Lonchura striata: one gene and its partner. The protein of the gene in region 1 interacts with the protein of each later gene in a pairwise test. Links are inferred from orthologs where the notes say so. Each region holds a gene or a part of one and is shown on either strand. Other genes may lie near its edges.

Region 1 (8,944 bases):
CTCCTTTGCTGATCTTCTCAAAGCCTTCCTTGGCAATAGCTCGTGCAAGGACTGTTGCAGTAGTGGTACCGTCTCCTGCTTCTTCGTTGGTATTGTTGGCAACATCTTGAACTAGCTTGGCTCCTATGTTTTTGTATTTGTCTTTCAAGTCAATTGCCTTTGCTACTGTCACACCATCTTTTGTCACTTTGGGACTTCCCCAGCTTTGTTCAATAATAACTGTTCTTCCCTAGGGGGACAAAAACCAAATTCTAAATCCAAGCTAATCCAAAGCAAGTTACTCTCAAGAGCTCAACTGAAAATTTTGAACAGTCACAGCTTACACGGGGCATTCAGCTGGGACTTCTCAAACACTTACTTTAATACTAAAGTTCTCCTAAACCAGAAAAATGGTTCAAAAGCTTTATGTTTCCACAGAATGACACTCCATTCTTCAGCCATAATGCTTAATACCTGCTATTAAGTAACACTGACTGTAGAGAAAAAACTGAAGAGATTCTCTCTAATGCTAATATTTTACCCCAAAATTAAAAGTACAGCAATTCAAATAACCAAATTTTCAAAATTTTAATCACATCACAATAAACATTCTTTGTGATTAAAAAACAAGTAATACAAAGCTCAATTTGTTGCATATGCTGTAAGGAAAAAAAAAAAGCAGACTTGCAAACCTTAATAGTGATTAGCAAAGACAACTGAGAATACTTCAAATTTGTGTTCATGTGTTACAGTAATTTCTCAAGCACTTCAAGTTACCAAGCTTTTCTCATCTTAGCTCTCGCCTGAATCCAACTAACAAGCCGGAGCATTGTATCTAACAGGCAGAGCTAACACAGGAACCAACAGCTGTCCCAGTCATGTTCCAGTCGGAGCTGGAGGCAGCAGAAACTCGAGCCACCTCTGGTTTAGTGCTGCCCTGAAACTCCTCTGCTATCCTGGCAGCTGGAGCTGCTGGAAGAGGGAAGGGAGCCCCAGCTCAGCAGTGTCCCTCCCAGCCAGCCCTGCACAAGTGCCCTCACTGGGTCTGTCAGGTCCTGCTCCGAGCTGACCCCGCCGGCTCCTGCCAGAGCCCAGGGTGGGGATCAGGAGCCAGGCAAGGATTCAGTGCAGCACCCAGCGCTGCGTGCCCTGTGCCCCTCCCCTGCTCGGAGCCCACACACATCTGCCTCAAAACCGAACCAGCTCTGGCTGCCTGCCAGGCACGAGGCCTCGCTGCTCCTGAAGCACAGCACCCCAGCAGCTACAAGGAAAGGTTCTGCTTCAGTTACTCAGGCTGAACCAGGGGAAGAACTCATTGAAATTTACCTCTGTGCCACGGAATAGTTATGATAAAATAATAAATTATCTTATTTGACCTGCCCATCTAAATATAAATGTGATTCAAGTATAAGAAAACTCCTCTGTGGAGGAGCATGCTACCAGTAGGTACATTTTTCATATAACGTCTCCTAGTTTGCTTAATTCTGTTTTGTATTTGATATAGTCTTATTCTTAATGGTTGGTTTATAGCTCTGAGAAGAGGAGCACAACAAAACCTAGATAACAAATCACATGAAAGGGCTTGCTCTTTTAGAAGCAAAAACACCTGTCTGTGTTCCTGAAGAAGAGAACAAACACCACCAGTAACTGCACAGGCATTTAGGAATGGTCTGGCTCCCACACAAACCAGTTCTGTTCAACATACTGGAGCACTACCAAAAGATTGTGTGAGACTGCAAACTGGGCTCCTTAAAATGTAGAGCAGTGCCAAAGGAGGTTTCCTCACCAGTGATGTTTCTTAAAAATGCCAGAAGCAGACTCAGGCACTGCAGCACAACCCCTCAATTTTTACAATACATGAAGAACAGCATAATGAACAAAAATCCCCTAAGGTTACACTACGTTACATCAGCAACTGCCCTTTAGCCAGTGGATTAGAACTGTGCTTCGGCATTCAGAAAGCAGCCTGATCCAAAAAAACAAGAGTTAAATTAACCAACTACACTTAAACTTTGTTCCTTCATGGAAGCAGTCACGGCTTCCTGACATAATTGATCCTTCATCTGCTCAGCTTTATGGCACTTTTGCCTTTGAATGAAAGTGGTAGAGCACTAAAAATGGGCAGAAAATACATGAAATAATGTTACAGAGGACAAGCAATCCTCAGAAGAACTACCATGCACATGCTATTATAGGGAACAAATATTCACATAACCCCCAAGAAAATCCATGTCTCTTCCTCAAAAAGAGGAATCTCATTTCAAGCCCTACTGCACATTGCATGACTATGCAGAATACCACAGCTGGTTTTCCAAGAGACCCAGATCTCCTTTACAGGACAGAATATAGGGTAATAAATGCAATACCACAAAATTGTACTTAGGCTGGTAATACTCACCAGACAATTGAAAACTCAACATCACACTTTGGCTATTTTTAAAAGCTTATTAATATTTAAAAGGTAAACCAATATAAAATTTTAATTTGTTAAACAAACAAAACAAGCATCATAAAAAAGTCCAACCAAGCCACCCACACGCTGATTAACCTACCCCACGACACAGACAGTTACATTATCTACTGCACTGTTACAGGTTATCAACTGAGCTGGTAACACATTATGCACAACTCCTTAACCTTCAAACTGTTTAGACGAATATAATGTACCTTTCACAAGATTCCAAGCAATTTTACTTTGTTACTTCAAAAAGCACGTGCACTATTGTCCCACTTTTGGTGGACATGAGACTACAGCTGCTTGCAGGAGCCCCATTCCCCTACCCTTTCGCGTTGCAGGTCTGCAAATACAATCGTGCAGCTTCACCGAGAGAAACTCAACAACTGTTCTCTGTTACAGTTATTTTCAGCCAGGTCTAACATAAAGGCCAAATCTTCCATTACCTTTGGCCCCATGGTGACAGCTACAGCATCTGCTAAAAGATCTACTCCTTGCAGCATCAGAGCTCTCGCGTCTGCTCCGAATTTCACATCTTTTGCATAGGCTCGTGTCAGATGTGGGGCGAGGGATCTGGACACTGGTCTTATCTGACGGAGTACTGTAGATAAGCGGAGCATGTCTAAAATATTAAAAGAAAGGTAGAGAAAAACAAAAGCATTATGGCTTTGCACAGCTACTTCTGCAGGAAAAGAGGGGTAAGAGATTCAGGAAGTAAAGCAGGCACGATGAATCTTTAGTTTCTCGAGTGGCTGAAATCGCGACACACAAGTAACTGCGGGTACCGGGCCGGGTGTCCCCGATGCTCCCGCCGAGCCCCGCGCGGCCTGCAGCACGTCCGATCCCTCCCGCCCGGAGCGGGGCAGGGCGCGGCGAGGGCAGCGCGGAGCGCCCGCGGCTCCATGTGCTCGGCGCGGGGCCGCGCCCGCCCGCGGCCGCAGCGGCAGCTCGGGTACGGCTCCCGCAGCCCGCTACGCCACCAAGGGCGGACAGGAGAGCGACAAGGCCGCGGCCGCCACCCGGGCCCGCAGGAGCCCCCGCGCCGGGCAGGGCCCCGCGGGCACATGGCCGCCGCACCAGGACACGCGCAGCAAGGTCAGCGCCGCCCGCCCCCCGCCGCCGCCGCCCGGCCCGCCGCGCCACCCCCGGCCCGCAGGAGGCGCGGGGCCCGCTCCCGCCGCCCGGGCGCACAGCCCGCATCGCGGCCGCCCCCCGCTCCCGCCGCCCGGGCCCGGCCGCTCCCGGCGCGCGGCCCCCGCGGGAAGCGCGGCCGAAGGAGCGGGGGCCCCGTGCCCCTCCCAAGCCGGGCAGGGCGGCGCGGGCCCGGCGCGCCGGGCGCGTTCCCGCTCACCTGCGGCAGCGCGGGAGCAGCACCGCGGCTCTGCGGACTCGGGGCACGTCTGGCGCGGCGGCGGCGGGCGGCGCTCGGCACTCACCGCCTCGGCCCCGCCCCCGCGCCGCCGCCGGCCCATGTGCGGCTCCGGCCGCCCGGCCCCGGAACCAGCATGGCCTCCGCGCCCGCCCACAGCCCGCATGCCGCGCTGGGCCGCGGGCTACAACAGCGCATGCGCCAAGGGCTCGTAGCATGAACTATTCATGTTCCCGGGCCCGCCGATTCCAGAACCTTCTGGAACGCTCATGCCCGCCGCGGGTCAGAGGTGAGCTGACCTCACTTCCGTGCGGGGCCCGGCCCGGGGCGCCGCGGGAGCTGCGCGGCGGGCCCGCCGTGCCGCCGGGGCGCAGCCGTTCCCGGGGCTGAGAGGGGGCCGCAGAGGTCGGAAAAAAACGGCGGCTCTGAACGTCCCCGGGGCCGGGGGTCGGGTCTGCTCCGCCCCGGGGCGGGGCGCCGGTCGCGCATGCGCCCGCCGTGACCTTCCTCACGTGTGTGCTGGCGGCGGCGCGGTCACTCGGTGCGGGCGGCGCGGGAGCAGCATGGTGAGTGCCGGGGCCCCGCCGCGCCGCCTGCCCATCGCTGCTGTGGCCCGGGCCGCCCCGCCCCGCGTGTCTGGCGCCGCGGGGACAGACGGCCCGCGGGGCCCCGCGGCGGCCCCGCTCTCCCCGCGGTTGGGTCGCTGCCGGGGCCCCCGAGCAGCCGCGGCCGCGCACGGCTGCGCTCGGTCCCCGCGGGCAGCGCTGGGTCGCGGGGAGGCGCGGGGAAGGTGGAGCCGGGGTGGCGGCGCCGCAAGGTCACGCAGTCCGGGGGGCAGAGGCGACTCCCCGGCAGGCGCGGGGGCTGCGGCCGGGACGTGGCGGGAGGTTTGCCGGGGCTGGCTGCCTTTGGCTGCGCAGACACTCGAGCTCAGGGTTCCTCCCCGCCGCAGTAACGGGAGCAGCCCCGTGACAGCAGCGCCGCAGGGCAGGGCCGCACAGGCCACGGCGGGTCTCTGCGGAGATGGAAACCTGTGCCACGCTCCAGAGCTCTCCTTCTGTACGTTTAGTGAAATTTTTTATAGGGAAGAAGGAGAGTTTGACTGAGTTGCCCTTGTTCTTGCAGTGATACTTGGTTCTTGTGATGATAATAACGTAAAGAATTAAAACTTGGTGTAAAATGTTCATGATCATTAGTCTGGCAGCTTTATTTTTGGTAAACGTAAAACAGCTCTTAAAAAGGAGGGTCAGCGATATTATTTTCACAGAATGAAACGTACAGAACTGGCAGCCTTTTCCCTTGGTTAGCTTTCATCCCTGTGCTGCTGACAGCAGTCAAATACATCTTCTATGAGCTGCCTTTTGTTCGCGCTCTGCCTGTGGCTCTGCTTTCTGCCACTTCTCAAGTGTGTGTGGATACCGGTGAGTGCCAGCAAAGGGACACGGGTGCCAGGCCCTTCTGGCTCTTTCTGAGTGTGGCCTCTGTGTACCTGCCTAGTGGAGCACTAGCTCCATGTGACTTGGCAAGTGGCCATATCTTTCCTTCTAAATCAAAGCAAGTTCCTTCTTCCTGACCCCCGTGCTTTTGGATAAATGCATTTGCTGGCATTTATCTGGCCTATGGGAATTTGACTGCCGATTCTGGAATGCAGACAGGTAGCAGTAGGTAGTTGTAAAAAAACCCCAAAACTAAGCCAGATATGAGAGGAAAACCCAACAGCTTAATAAAAACCCCTCAACTTGACTCTGCTTAAACAGAAGCAGATACCAAAGCAATTGAGCTAGAAGGGTGCCTAGCTTCTCATTTTCAGGTTCTTGACCTAAACTTTCTTTTAATTTTTTCTGAATCTCTTTGTAGAAGTTGGGATAAGTAACAGCACTGTGTTCAGGCTGCAGATTCTCACCTATTTTTTTGAAAGCACCTGAGAAAAGCTGACAATGGGGCACCTGGTTAGACTTGTGCTTCTTTAATGTAAACCCTTTCACAAGTGTAGATGTAGCTCTCCCAAGGAGTCCTTAATCTCCATTAGATCTGGTTGTGAACTGGAGAAATGCGGTTCATATAATCAATAATTATGTTCGCCAAGCTATAGCAACTAAGGGTTTGGTGTTAAAAGCCTAGAGGCCTTTCCAGACAGAGGAGTCTGCTCTGTCCGAGGGCGGTTTATTCCCCAGCTGGAGTACATCTTCCTACGGCCGAATTGTCAGGATTTCCCAGCATCTGCCTGTGCCTTCAGGAGTTTCTGATGCAGTCAGAGCTGGTACTTGTTTGCTGCTATTAAAGAAGTGCTTAGCAGTTGTCTTACACTATTCATCTCTCTCAAAGGAGGAATCACTATGTGTTGGATTTTTAAAACTCCTTTTAATTGCAGTTTTTGTTGTAATGGTGCTCTTACTAATGTACAATTACTTCCACAGGCAGGAAAAGCATTTAGGAAATTTCTTCCCCTCTTTGATCGTGTGCTGGTTGAGCGATGTGCGGCTGAGACAGTAACCAAAGGAGGAATCATGATACCAGAAAAATCCCAAGGGAAGGTACTACAAGCAACAGTAGTAGCAGTTGGATCTGGAGGCAGAGGAAAGGTAATCACCCTGAAGCATTCCATTTGGTAGAACCAGTAATGGTGTGGTGGTCACTGGAATGTTGCCGTGAGAGTGGGATGGTTGTTGTGCAAAAGTGGTAATGGATGACTGTGATGGCTAAAATTGCAAGTGGGGATTTAAAAGCAGGTAGAAATCTCAAGTTGTCCTGAAATGAATTCCAGCATTCCTTTCATCATTTGTAAAATGGAGTGGAGTTTCTTTTGTAGACAGTGTTTTATGTGATACCATATTTCATCACATCTCAGCCAAAACCTTGAGGGACCAGTAGACTTCTTTGTTAAAATTACTACGTGCCCAAATGTCTGTGACTTGTGAGCAGGGTGGAACCCCAAAATGTGGTATTGGCTGCCTTGTGCTGTGCAAAATATCATTATCGATAAGGATTAGGCTTCTTGGACTAAAGAAAGTCAGCAATCAAAAGAAATAATTGTTGAATAACTGTTTGTTAATTTTGCACATTGGATATGCATATGCCAATAAGAGTTCACAGAAATGCCAGTGCCTGGGTGCTCCCACATCAGAAGGGCTGGTTCCCCACCAGAGCAGTGTTCAGTCAGTAGCAACACTGGAAAACAGGTTAAATTTCAGCTTGGGCACATTGCCTTGGCCTTCCTTTACCGTGAGTCCCTCTATACGTCCCAGGCTGGTTTGTGTCAGGATCTGATTTTTAATGGTTTATATTGTGAAAGGGTGATAATGTTTGACTAATGTGTTAATGTTTTATTTATAATACAAAAATTTAATTAAATTTCATCAGGTGTTCCTAAACAAGTGAATTGATGGCAACAGTGACAAGTTGATCAAAGTTACAGAAATTACTTGGAGAAATTATCCTTGGTTATAGAATATGGAAATGGACTTTGTCCCTTGATTTTACAAGGGGGTTTCATGGTTCATTAAGTGAAGTCCTATTCAGTGTGTCAAGCAAAGACCTCACGCTTGTATTAACAGTCAAAACTAAATGCAGAGTTGTGATTTCCTGAATGTTTCTGTACACAGATGGATTGTGGTAGTTTGGAGGTATTCTATCACAGAAAAGTAAGGATTTTTTTTTTTTCTTTTTCCAGAATGGCGAGATTCAGCCAGTGAGTGTAAAAGTTGGTGAAAAGGTTTTGCTCCCAGAATATGGTGGAACTAAGATCGTACTGGAAGATAAGGTAGGTTTCCCAACTTTGTGAGTGCAAATCGGAATGGTTCCTGAAATGCCAGTGATAAATACTGTGGTTACTTGGTGGTGTTTGCACCATTCACACAAGAAGACAGCATTCACACAACACAAGGGAGGGAGCAGCTGGATCCAGCCACCCTCTGGTAGCTGTGCTACTGCTACTTCAGCCCTTGCATAAAAGGAAGCAACCATGGGATCCTCTGACCTGACCTTTGCTGGGTGGGCAAAATGTTCCATATGTCAAGTACATATTAGAGAGAATCCAAAAAGGCTTAGGAATTCCTGGGGGCATCCTTGTTTTTGGTACAGAAAGCTTGCAGAATTGTTTTCTAACCGTTCTTGTGCTTTCCCACTGCTAGAAGTAACTTGATAGCTCTCCAAAGATTATCTTAGGAACAAAAAGAACTTTTTCAAGACTAGCTCTACATGTTGACTTCTTGGTTAGCTCACTTTTGATTTTATTCTTAATGACTGCAATTAATGCTGACTCAGAACAAGACAGTATTTACAAAACAAGAAAAATATTTACATGAGAGAAGCTAACGGTTCTTTTCTTTACAGGACTACTACTTGTTTAGAGATGGTGACATTCTTGGGAAATATGTGGACTAAACCTGTTGCAGTATCAGTCATCCATTCCACTAAAATGCTGAAATTTTTCTTTCATCATGTAAATAATGTCCTTTATTTTATAATAAACAGGCATTGAGTCTTTGAAATAACTTGTGATCTCACTGTAATGATGGAACACAAATAAAAATATGTACAGTCAGAAACCAGTTGCTCTTGCTTGAGTTCCATTGAACAGTGAAATTTGGATGACCGCCAACCAGCCTTAATTCCAAACAGCATCATTTTATATCCTTATCTCTGTACTGAGATTGTAAAGGTCTTTACAATAAACTTATAAAACTATTCTGCTTCTGTCTCAGTTTCTGCTGCTGCTCAGTGAAACTGAGTCTCAATTGTAATGAGCTCTCTGTAACATTCAATGGTAGTAATATGTTATTTTCACCAAGTTTGTATGAAATGAGCTTAAAAGGGTTACCAGACAGATGCAATCTTGCTGAGGACTTGTATCCAGCTCCCTTGCACATTGGACTCCAGTGTGCGATAGCATGGGTTCTTCTAAGTCCTGTATGAAGACCCTGAAATACTGAAATGTTAAGGCACACAAACAGCCTGTCCCCCAGCAGGTGGAAGGAGCTTGCTATTAGTCATGTCTGTGCTGTAACAGGATCATGCTGATCTTAAATGAAATTTCTTTACTGATTACCACACTATCACACCCAGATCTTGAGTTTTCCCTTTGACGAATTATATTTCATTTACCCTTAACACACCATTCTTAAATAGCAAGACACTGACTT
Region 2 (8,855 bases), on another chromosome or scaffold:
CACACATAAGCAGTTTCTACTGTGTGACTGAGAACACTTCCACTGAACCAGTGACAGACACAAGATGCTATTTCCATGTTCTAATCCAAACTGCTGGAGATATAAGCCACATTCTAATAAGCCAAATCTATTACTTCCACACAGAAAGTGTTCATCTTTGTACTCCAAATTCCATGTCCAGCCAAGGACTTTGTTTCTGTTTCTGTCAGGGAGGAGAGGTCAGCACAATTCACACAGTCCCAGGATGAGCCAAGGACACCAGGATAAAGAGGTGGCAGCCAGGAGTGCACCAAAAAGCACTGGGGATAGCATTTATATGCGAAATACAACAGGGAAATACTGCTGAAGGCTCTTGGAAGCTCCGCAGTGACTTCAGCTGACTCAGAAAGAGACTGTGATGATGATCCTTTCTTCCCTGCCCTGAGCAATGCCCTGTCCGCCCTGTCACTGGTCCTGGCAGGGTGAGCAAGCTCTGGGAACTGGCCTGACTGAGAAATAATTCTGCAAAACAGAAATGATGGGTGGTTTTCACCTGGGCTCAAGCACTGCACGATAGGAGCTAGGAGCATGCAAACTCAGATTTCAGTGTTGCTCTCTGGCACCACAAGGGGATAACACACCCAGCTGTGGATGCTATTAACTGCTTAACGTGGTTTCTCTACTCACTGAAATTCAGCCTAACATCAGGGAGCAATGGAGGAAATGTGAGTTCACATACACCGTGAACTGTCAGAACCACGAATTTTACATTTGTTCGAAACAGTGTCTCATACACTTAAGTCATGAGTCCTTGAACTAGATCAAAAGAAATTATTCTTATTTTGTTCAAGATGTATCAAACAGACAAAAATAATTTTGAACTACATCACTAAGAAAAGCACTGCAGTGTTAAGAAAAGAGTCACAGCTATCTGCATATAAAGATACAACTTTCAGTTTTGTAACAAAACACTCTTTTCACTATAGCTGCTTTTCCATATTTTTATACCCCAAAATGCACAGAGTGCATTTGACTTTTTACTCATCCTAAAATACATGACTGAATGCATCTTAAACTTGTTTGAATTTTATTCTGTCTTGCTGACACAAAAAAGGAGATTAGATAGGGGAAGATTTTAATGCAAATTATATTCACTAAGATTTGGTATTTTAAGCATTTAAATTTTTTTTGAGTCTGCTGAACTTCAGAGCAAAACTGTTGCACTCATGCTACTGCACCTGCTGAGAAGCACATGGGAAAGTCACATCTAAGACACAGGCTATCCAAATACCCCTGACCAAGTCAGAAAGCTAAATATCCAAAGCCACATTCTAACTGCCCTAAACATAAGGACATGTTTTCTTCTGAACCCCTGCTGAAATCATGGCATATCCACCTCACTTTGGATGAAGTACAGGACCTATACATGGTAGTCTTCTTCACAGCAGACACCTCTACCCTCTAAAGAAGGATCTTCCTATAAATCAAATAGGCAGAGAGTGGAGACCGGCTGTGGTCTCATGTTTCAGGCCTGTGATAAATCTCACATGCAGTGACTTAGTCTTCTTCCTGCAATCCCCTTCTCTCCAGCAGTGCAGGAGCATTTACCTCAGGAGTTTCACAAATACTTCCAGAAGGACAAGAGGATGTATCTCCCTGTGTAGTTTAGTTTTCCTCATGAGCTCTATATTGTTTGGAAGTTACTCAGTTATCACTATCATGCTTTTTTTGGGCTTTTAATCACCTCGGAGTGCACAACCTGGACTCCTTTTGGATGAAGGCAAATGCTCTGCAGTTCTAATCCTCTGGGATTAATCCTACTGTGCCTAATGCAGCCTTAGTGCTAGAGTCCTTTCCTTTAAAAAAAAAAAAAAGCATTTTGGATCCATGGCAAGCTGTTCTCGACAGCCAGGATTCTCGGGTTTAAAAGGTACCACTTAGAGGTCAGGATTTCTCTCCTCAGCCAAGATATTCAGAAAAACATAACCCTGAAAGATTTACAATAGATCAGAATGGAGGTAAACAATGGGAGAATGAACAAACCCTTCACAGAAATACCCGCAACGAAAACACCTAACAAACTCTGCCCACTCCTCCATCCCCTAAGAAACCCCAAACAAACAAAGAAAACCTGCCTAAACAAGACCCAGAATGTAATAACTGAGGACAATCTCTCTGGAATCTGTTTTCTAAAAATCTATGTAGTTTCACAATAAATTTCAATAATCCCACTGTGGGATTTTAAATGCTTACATCTGGACCAAATCCAGAGTTTCCTTTGATAAACTGACTTTCAATACCCCTGTGACACAAATACTATCTCTGGCTAAATCATTATTATACTACAAGATTTGCAAGCATTTAAAAGTAAGTTCTTCAAAAGCTTAATAGAGAAAACAGAGAAAATCTTAGCTATAATGAAAGTTTGACATTCAAATGAAAACTAGAACTCAGAACTGGATATGAAGGAAGTTTAAATTAATTAATGGTGTGTTTCAGGAATGTTGATGCCCTGTTTAAAACCACAAGGGAAGAATCTAATGTTACATTTCACATTTGTTACAGATACTCAAAATATAAAAACCAGGTACAGATGAAGAGCTATTAAATTCCAGTTTTAAAATGCCATGAAAAGAACACAACTATACCAAGACCAAAATTTGCTGTGCCATGAACAAACTCACCCACTGATTACTTCTGGAAATTTTTGAGAAGCTGTTTCACAACAGTATGTAAGGGGTTCCAGCCCACTCTTCTGTTGCCGGTATTTTTTAATTAGGTCCATCAGCACTGCCTGGTGCCCAATCTTCTTCACCAGCTGCTGCACCATACGATCATTAAGAGCCAGAAGAGCTGCTCCACTTATTTCTTCTTCTGCAGATCGAAGGGGATAAAAGAATTACTGTAAAATAGCTTTATAGTTACAGTTACATGCTATATGCCTAAACACATGATGATGGGAGATGGATCAAAGGGAAGGATGCTTTGTACTGCTGACAGTCATCTTCAGCTATCACCATCCTTTCCCAAGCAGTGCCAGGAGTCTTAATCACTGGCCAGATATCTTCCCCTGACATACAGCCAAGCCTGAAACACACAGAAGCAGAGGTGACAATTTTACTGCTTTAAGTCAGGCCTTGCTTGAATCACAGGAGACTGTTACTTGCTGATGAAGGAAATCAAGCTTTTTAACAGAGTAGACAAGCAATAGGCTGTTCACATTACAGTTTCTTGTGCACGCTTCTGTGAAGTGTCTATATACTCAAACATAAAACATTTGCACACTACATTTGCATTATTTCAAAAGATTTCTACAACATAAAATAGGCCCTGTCAGGTCTTTTAAACTGCCAGCTCTGATTTGAGGTGTGTCTATTTATATACAGGCTTAATTTCTTCCCCCAGGATTTCTCAGACTTTGTAGCAAATTTGTACACTTATGTTGATTTATCAGATATATGTCAGTTCTCACCCTAATAAATTTCTATAAAAGTCTGAGGTTAGCAAATACATACATGCCCCAAACCAAAACAAGGTAGGGAGTGCCAATAAAATGCATAGCAAGATATACTAAACAAACAGCACCACTCCCCCAAACAATAAAAATGCTTACCACGGAACTTAGGAACTAGCTCTCCTAAATTTCTCTGTTTCAACCAGTTGCAGACTTGCTCAACTGACCAACTTTCCATCTTCAATTGTTGCAACGTTAAATTTCTCTCTGAAATGAAAATAGATTATTTTTGTGCTGAGCTCTAAGCCAAGCTCCAACATTTCATATTAAAAAAATGTACTTAGGAAATAATATACCTACATGTTCTGAATAAAAATAGTGGAAAACAATCCAGCTAATGCCTGTTGTAAGTGGCAGTTTTCTTGGATCCCTTTCCTCTCCTCCTCTCCCGTCCCTGGTTTCCCTCTGTTCTGAGGCAGCCTCATTCCTTATAAAACAAGACCTGCTCCGGTACCATTAACACCCAGGTTTCCACACAGAGAAGAAAAAAGGTGTGAAATTCGCCACCACCATCAGGCTCATCAGGAAATGGCTGACATTTTACAGAAGGAAAAAAAAAAAAAAACAAGCCGCCCCACCATCAGATAAGAGTCTGTCACATCCATGCTTACAGTCAACCAAGCACCTTAACCCTCTCTGCACCGCCTGGCAGGGCAGGTACCCAGCAAACACTTAACCCTGAATTACCAACAGCCAGGGACAGGAAAGGTGGAAGGGAGGAGACTGCCCTGCTGTTGTTTGCTGGTTCTCTTCTCCAGGCTCCAGTGGTACCTGGGAGGATGCAGTGTGCGCCCTGGGAAGGCAGAGGCTCTGGGGCAGCCGGGATGGGTGCATCCACCCTCTGGGTGAATCCTGCACACTCTGTGTGCCTCCTGCCTGAAGGACACACTCGGATGACAAGGGGGTGCAACACACCCCAAAGCACCAGAGACCTCCCCAGAGGAAGGTAACTTATAGAGGCACAGCTTGTTCCACACTGCGAACTTCTCAGCAAGAGAAAACTCTCTCTGAGGGGAATTTTCTTATCAAGGTGTTTTAGCTCTCCTATCTAAAGGATCACCAAGTGCTCCATGACCGTGCTTGCAATCTACAGCACAGCAACACTATCGGAATCAGTTTTTCAGACACACGTATGAGTGTCTGGCATTGTTGGTCAAACATTTCCTTCCATACCCTAAGCCTGCAGCAAACTCCAGGCTAACATGAAGATTCACCCTCACAAACCTCATCAGAATCTGTGCTCAAAAGAAAAGGAAAACCAAAAAAAGAAAAAAACTCCTTGAATAAAATATTTCCATTTTCATCCTTCAGTAGCAGAGATCCTCCAAAAGACACACTTCAGTTTACACTCTTATGCCTGTCGACTTCAGCAGCTTAGAAGGGTTAAGTTTAAGAGGAATGCCTTTCTGAATTACATGAGTGGGTTTAATTTGATATGACAACAGTAGCCATACAACTCCTCCCCCAGGCTAAGCAACAAGAACAGGGTGTGAAAAGTCATTATTTGTTGAGAACTCTGGTGTAAATTAAAAATCACACCTTTCTGTCACACTTCTTACTTCCTTGCAAAGAGTAGTGCAGAAAAAAATTCTCCAAAAACTTGAAAGATAAAACCGGGTGCAAAGCAGAAAGATACTTCCCTTATCAACCAAGCAGTGTAAAAGGAGAGAGATACATTAAAATGTTGGAAAGGTCACTTCTTCACCCTATAAGAAGACTAACACCCTGGAACAATTATTCTAAAGCAGAGAGGCAGATACCAACACTTCAAAAAGTGTCAAGCAAACCCTAGCCATGCACAGCAATATGCACATTTAGCCCTGGGTGGCTAATTCTACAGCAAAATAGCCGCTTGCCCATGGAAATGCAGGCTGCACGCTTTATGGAGAGAAGTGATGATAGCTGAGAGGCAGTTTTGTTTTTTTTTAATCGTATATACATTAAGGGTCATGAAATTTAAATACTTTGAAATGCTTTTCAAAAGTGATTTCAGTTACTTGCCTCTGCTATAGACAAAGTAACCAAAAGAAAGAGCACACCAGTCTTCTATCAGTGTTATGGAGACAAGGACTGAGCACAGATGCTGGTATTTGTCTTCATTAATGATTTTATTTGTTACAGTAGCATCAAAAGATTATCCAGCAAAGGGTTGCCTGTGTTGAATGCGGTGAAACCTCTGAATAGTTATATTCCTCAATCAAGTCATATAAATCAGAACAACAAAAACCCAACAAAAACAGTTCTAAGCGTGAATGCTCTCTGTTTGTTAGTAATATAGCAAATCACTGGGACTCATTTCTTCATACACCTGGGGTCAATAACAATAATTAAGATTTATTTAGCCCTGGTTAATGAAATTAAGTAATGAAATCAATGAAAATTACTTTTCCCTAGAATGTGACAGAGGAGCACTTCTATTTACTATAAAAGTCTTCAAAACTGAAGCATAAAAATCTCAGGGTTAAATCAGATCAGGCTAAAGACCTATCAGTGGTACAGATTTCAGCTCCCACAGTGGGTTACACAATAGCAAGAGATGGGGATCCTGACCAGCAGGATGCTGGCAGATGCATACTGCACATGCACCAAATTATTCCATAGCTTGTCCACAGCTGCCATAATCTTGAAGTGACACTTCTAAATGAATAAGCCAATATATCAAAACACTTGAAATATGACGAGTCAGTTATTATGTTTACCTATGAGAGAGCCTATGGCACCACAGACGACAACTAGCACAACTTTTGACAAGCGTCTATGAGGTTTTTCACCAATGTCGGAGTTATGGTTAATTTTAGCACATTTAGTGCTAAAGAAATGTGTAAGGCATGTGATGTGTGCACATCTATACATCACAGCTGTGTGGCACATTCTGTAACGGGCCAGGTCTCAGAGTTACAAGTGTGATGAGTAGGAGTTGGTGCATACCAAAGATATAAGCAAAATATCCCATGTGCAATTTTATGCTCTCTTAATTTGGCTTCATCTTCAAATGCACTATACTTTATTTAAAATACTTTATTATTTTCTTTCCACTTACTACCAATCTCTTTTTAAAAACAATTAAAATAAATTCAAACAAATGTATTCAAGACAATGTAATCTCAGATCCAGTGATGAATTATCATGAAAAGAACATCAATTTTCCACAAACCTTTTCAGTAACATATAGGAAAAGGCTCTGAGGTAGCATTTCTGTCACCTTCCCCATCCCGTGAAGAAAATGCCAACAACACATTGCTGTCATTTGTCAGGCATTTATGCTAGCATGAACCATAGTGCAGAGATGTCCAAAATAAAGGGAAAAAAATCCCAGTATCAGTGAGGGAGCAAATCTTAAAGTCAACACACCAGTTCTCATTTCTATGCTACTATAGATGAAGACACATGCAGCTGCAAGACAAGGAGAGATGCAAACATACAGCAGATGCAAGAGAAAACCCATATCACCTAGGAGAAAGGCTATATAAGAAGATCTAGGAAGAAAACATGCACATCCATTAGTCAGTTGTAGATAACGGGAAACAAGCCAGACAAAGCTTTTAAAATTTGATCAGAGCTAAGGGAATTTACAAGGGTTCTGAACATGCCCATCCATTGAGCTTATCAAGTAAACAAATCCCTCTGCAAGAATTAACTCTGAAGAATATTATAAAAAAATAATCCCTTTCCTTAATACATGTGCTTCTGATTAAATATTATATTTCTAATACTCAAGTTTTTGCTATGTGAACTTTAAAAATATTTTCATTTGTGCTAGCTGCAGTATTACTGGAAAAACGAGTTGTCCCACTTCAACAGCAAAATTCAACACAAGAACCAAGTTCTCTCTATTACAGATATGCAACTTATTTGGCAATTTGAAAGGTAGAATAATAAATTAACTGTGATTTAATAACAATGTAAATGAGACTCCATTCTTGCTATTACTGGCAACAGAGTACAAGTGATAAGACACTTAGCTGTAAAAGTCTTCCTTTTTTTTAAAAAAAAAAAACCTTCTGGAAATGAGGGCCCTGTAAAATCAAAACTTTTTATATTATCTTTTTGTCATGGTTTGACACTGGCCCAATGCCAGGCACAAACAAGAGTTGCTCTCTCACCCTTCCCTGCCACAGCTGGGCAGAGGAGAGGAAAAAAGTTAACAAAGACTTCATGAGTTTAGATAAGGATCGGGAGAATAAAAAAAAAGAACTTCAAGGGCGTAACAGGCTCAACTTCAGGCTGCCAGGTGAATTTATTATGAACAGAAGAGGGTAATGAGAAGCAAAATGAGCCTTTAAAGCACCTTTTCTCCCCAGGCCCTCCTTCCTTTCCACTGACAGGGTATGGGGGTTTTTGGGTCAGTTCATCACCAAGATTTTTTTTTCCACTGCTCCAAGAGAGGAGTCCTTCCCCTGTGAGTCTGTGGGGTCCCTTCCCACGGGTGACAGTCCTCCATGAACTTCTCCTGTGGGTCCACTTCTCACGAGTAGCTGCCCTACTATATCTACTGCAATGTGAACTCCCTTCCCAGGCTGGGAAGTCCCAAAACTGCTGTGACATGGGTCTCTCTTTCTATGGGGTGGAGTCCTCCAAGGATAGGCTGCTCCAGCCTGGAAGCAGAGCCCCTCTCTCCACCAGGTCTCTCACTGGATTACAGCCTCTTACATCCACCTGCTCCAGCATGGGCTGTGGGTGGATCTCTGCATCTCCTGTGGATCCCCATGGGCTGCGGGGGCTCAGCTGCTTCGCCGTGGTCTCTCCGCGGCCTGCAGAGGAATCTCGGCTCCGGCACCTGGAGCACCTCATCCCCTCCCTCTCCACTGACCTTTGTGTCTCCGTGTTTTTTCCCTCACATGGTCTCACCTCCTCCTTTACCCTGACTAGCAGAAACACCTTTGACTTTGTTTTGATTTCCTTCTTAAATATGCCATTACAGAGGCATCACCAACCTCTCTTATTGGCCCAGTTTTGGCCAGCTGCACATTTGTCTTCAAAGCCATCAAGGATTGGCTCTGCTGGACATGGTGGAAGCTTCCAGCAGCTTTCAAGAGAAGCCATCTCTGCGGCCCACCTGCTACCAAAAACCAGGTCCTGCAAAACAAATAAGATTTAATAAAACTGTATCAAATAAAAATACAATGTTACAGTGAGAAAAGGGGGGAAAATGAAGTAAATGTTAAAAATTTATGAATCACAAAAATTAGATTTCATGTGTCAAAAAGAAAGCAATCAGACATGGACATGGTATGGTATGGCATGGACACTGCTCCAGAAGACTAGAGAAATAAATAATTTAATCTTGCTGATATTTCTTTTCTCCCCAGAGTACAATTTTCTCACCAGGTCCATGTGTTGTGTTGATCATGTCACTGCTTGC

The links.
Region 2: the proteins of HSPD1 (region 1) and SAMD3 interact in binary tests that used the Homo sapiens proteins (3 or more experiments, as listed by UniProt). The two-hybrid records come from large-scale screens. The link is inferred for Lonchura striata from reciprocal best matches to the Homo sapiens genes HSPD1 and SAMD3.

Annotation. Positions count from the first base shown.
Region 1 is NC_134610.1:28,259,851-28,268,794, reverse strand, and holds the start of HSPD1 (60 kDa heat shock protein, mitochondrial), read right to left. Parts: upstream 3,889-8,944; 5' UTR 3,786-3,888; intron 3,057-3,785; 5' UTR 3,055-3,056; coding exon 2,881-3,054; intron 230-2,880; coding exon 1-229. Other genes in the region: HSPE1 (10 kDa heat shock protein, mitochondrial), read left to right, coding at 4,367-4,369, 6,221-6,385, 7,474-7,563, 8,136-8,186. UniProt on the Homo sapiens protein: Chaperonin implicated in mitochondrial protein import and macromolecular assembly. Together with Hsp10, facilitates the correct folding of imported proteins.
Region 2 is NC_134605.1:60,349,121-60,357,975, reverse strand, and holds the start of SAMD3 (sterile alpha motif domain-containing protein 3), read right to left. Parts: upstream 3,699-8,855; 5' UTR 3,672-3,698; coding exon 3,593-3,671; intron 2,854-3,592; coding exon 2,664-2,853; intron 1-2,663.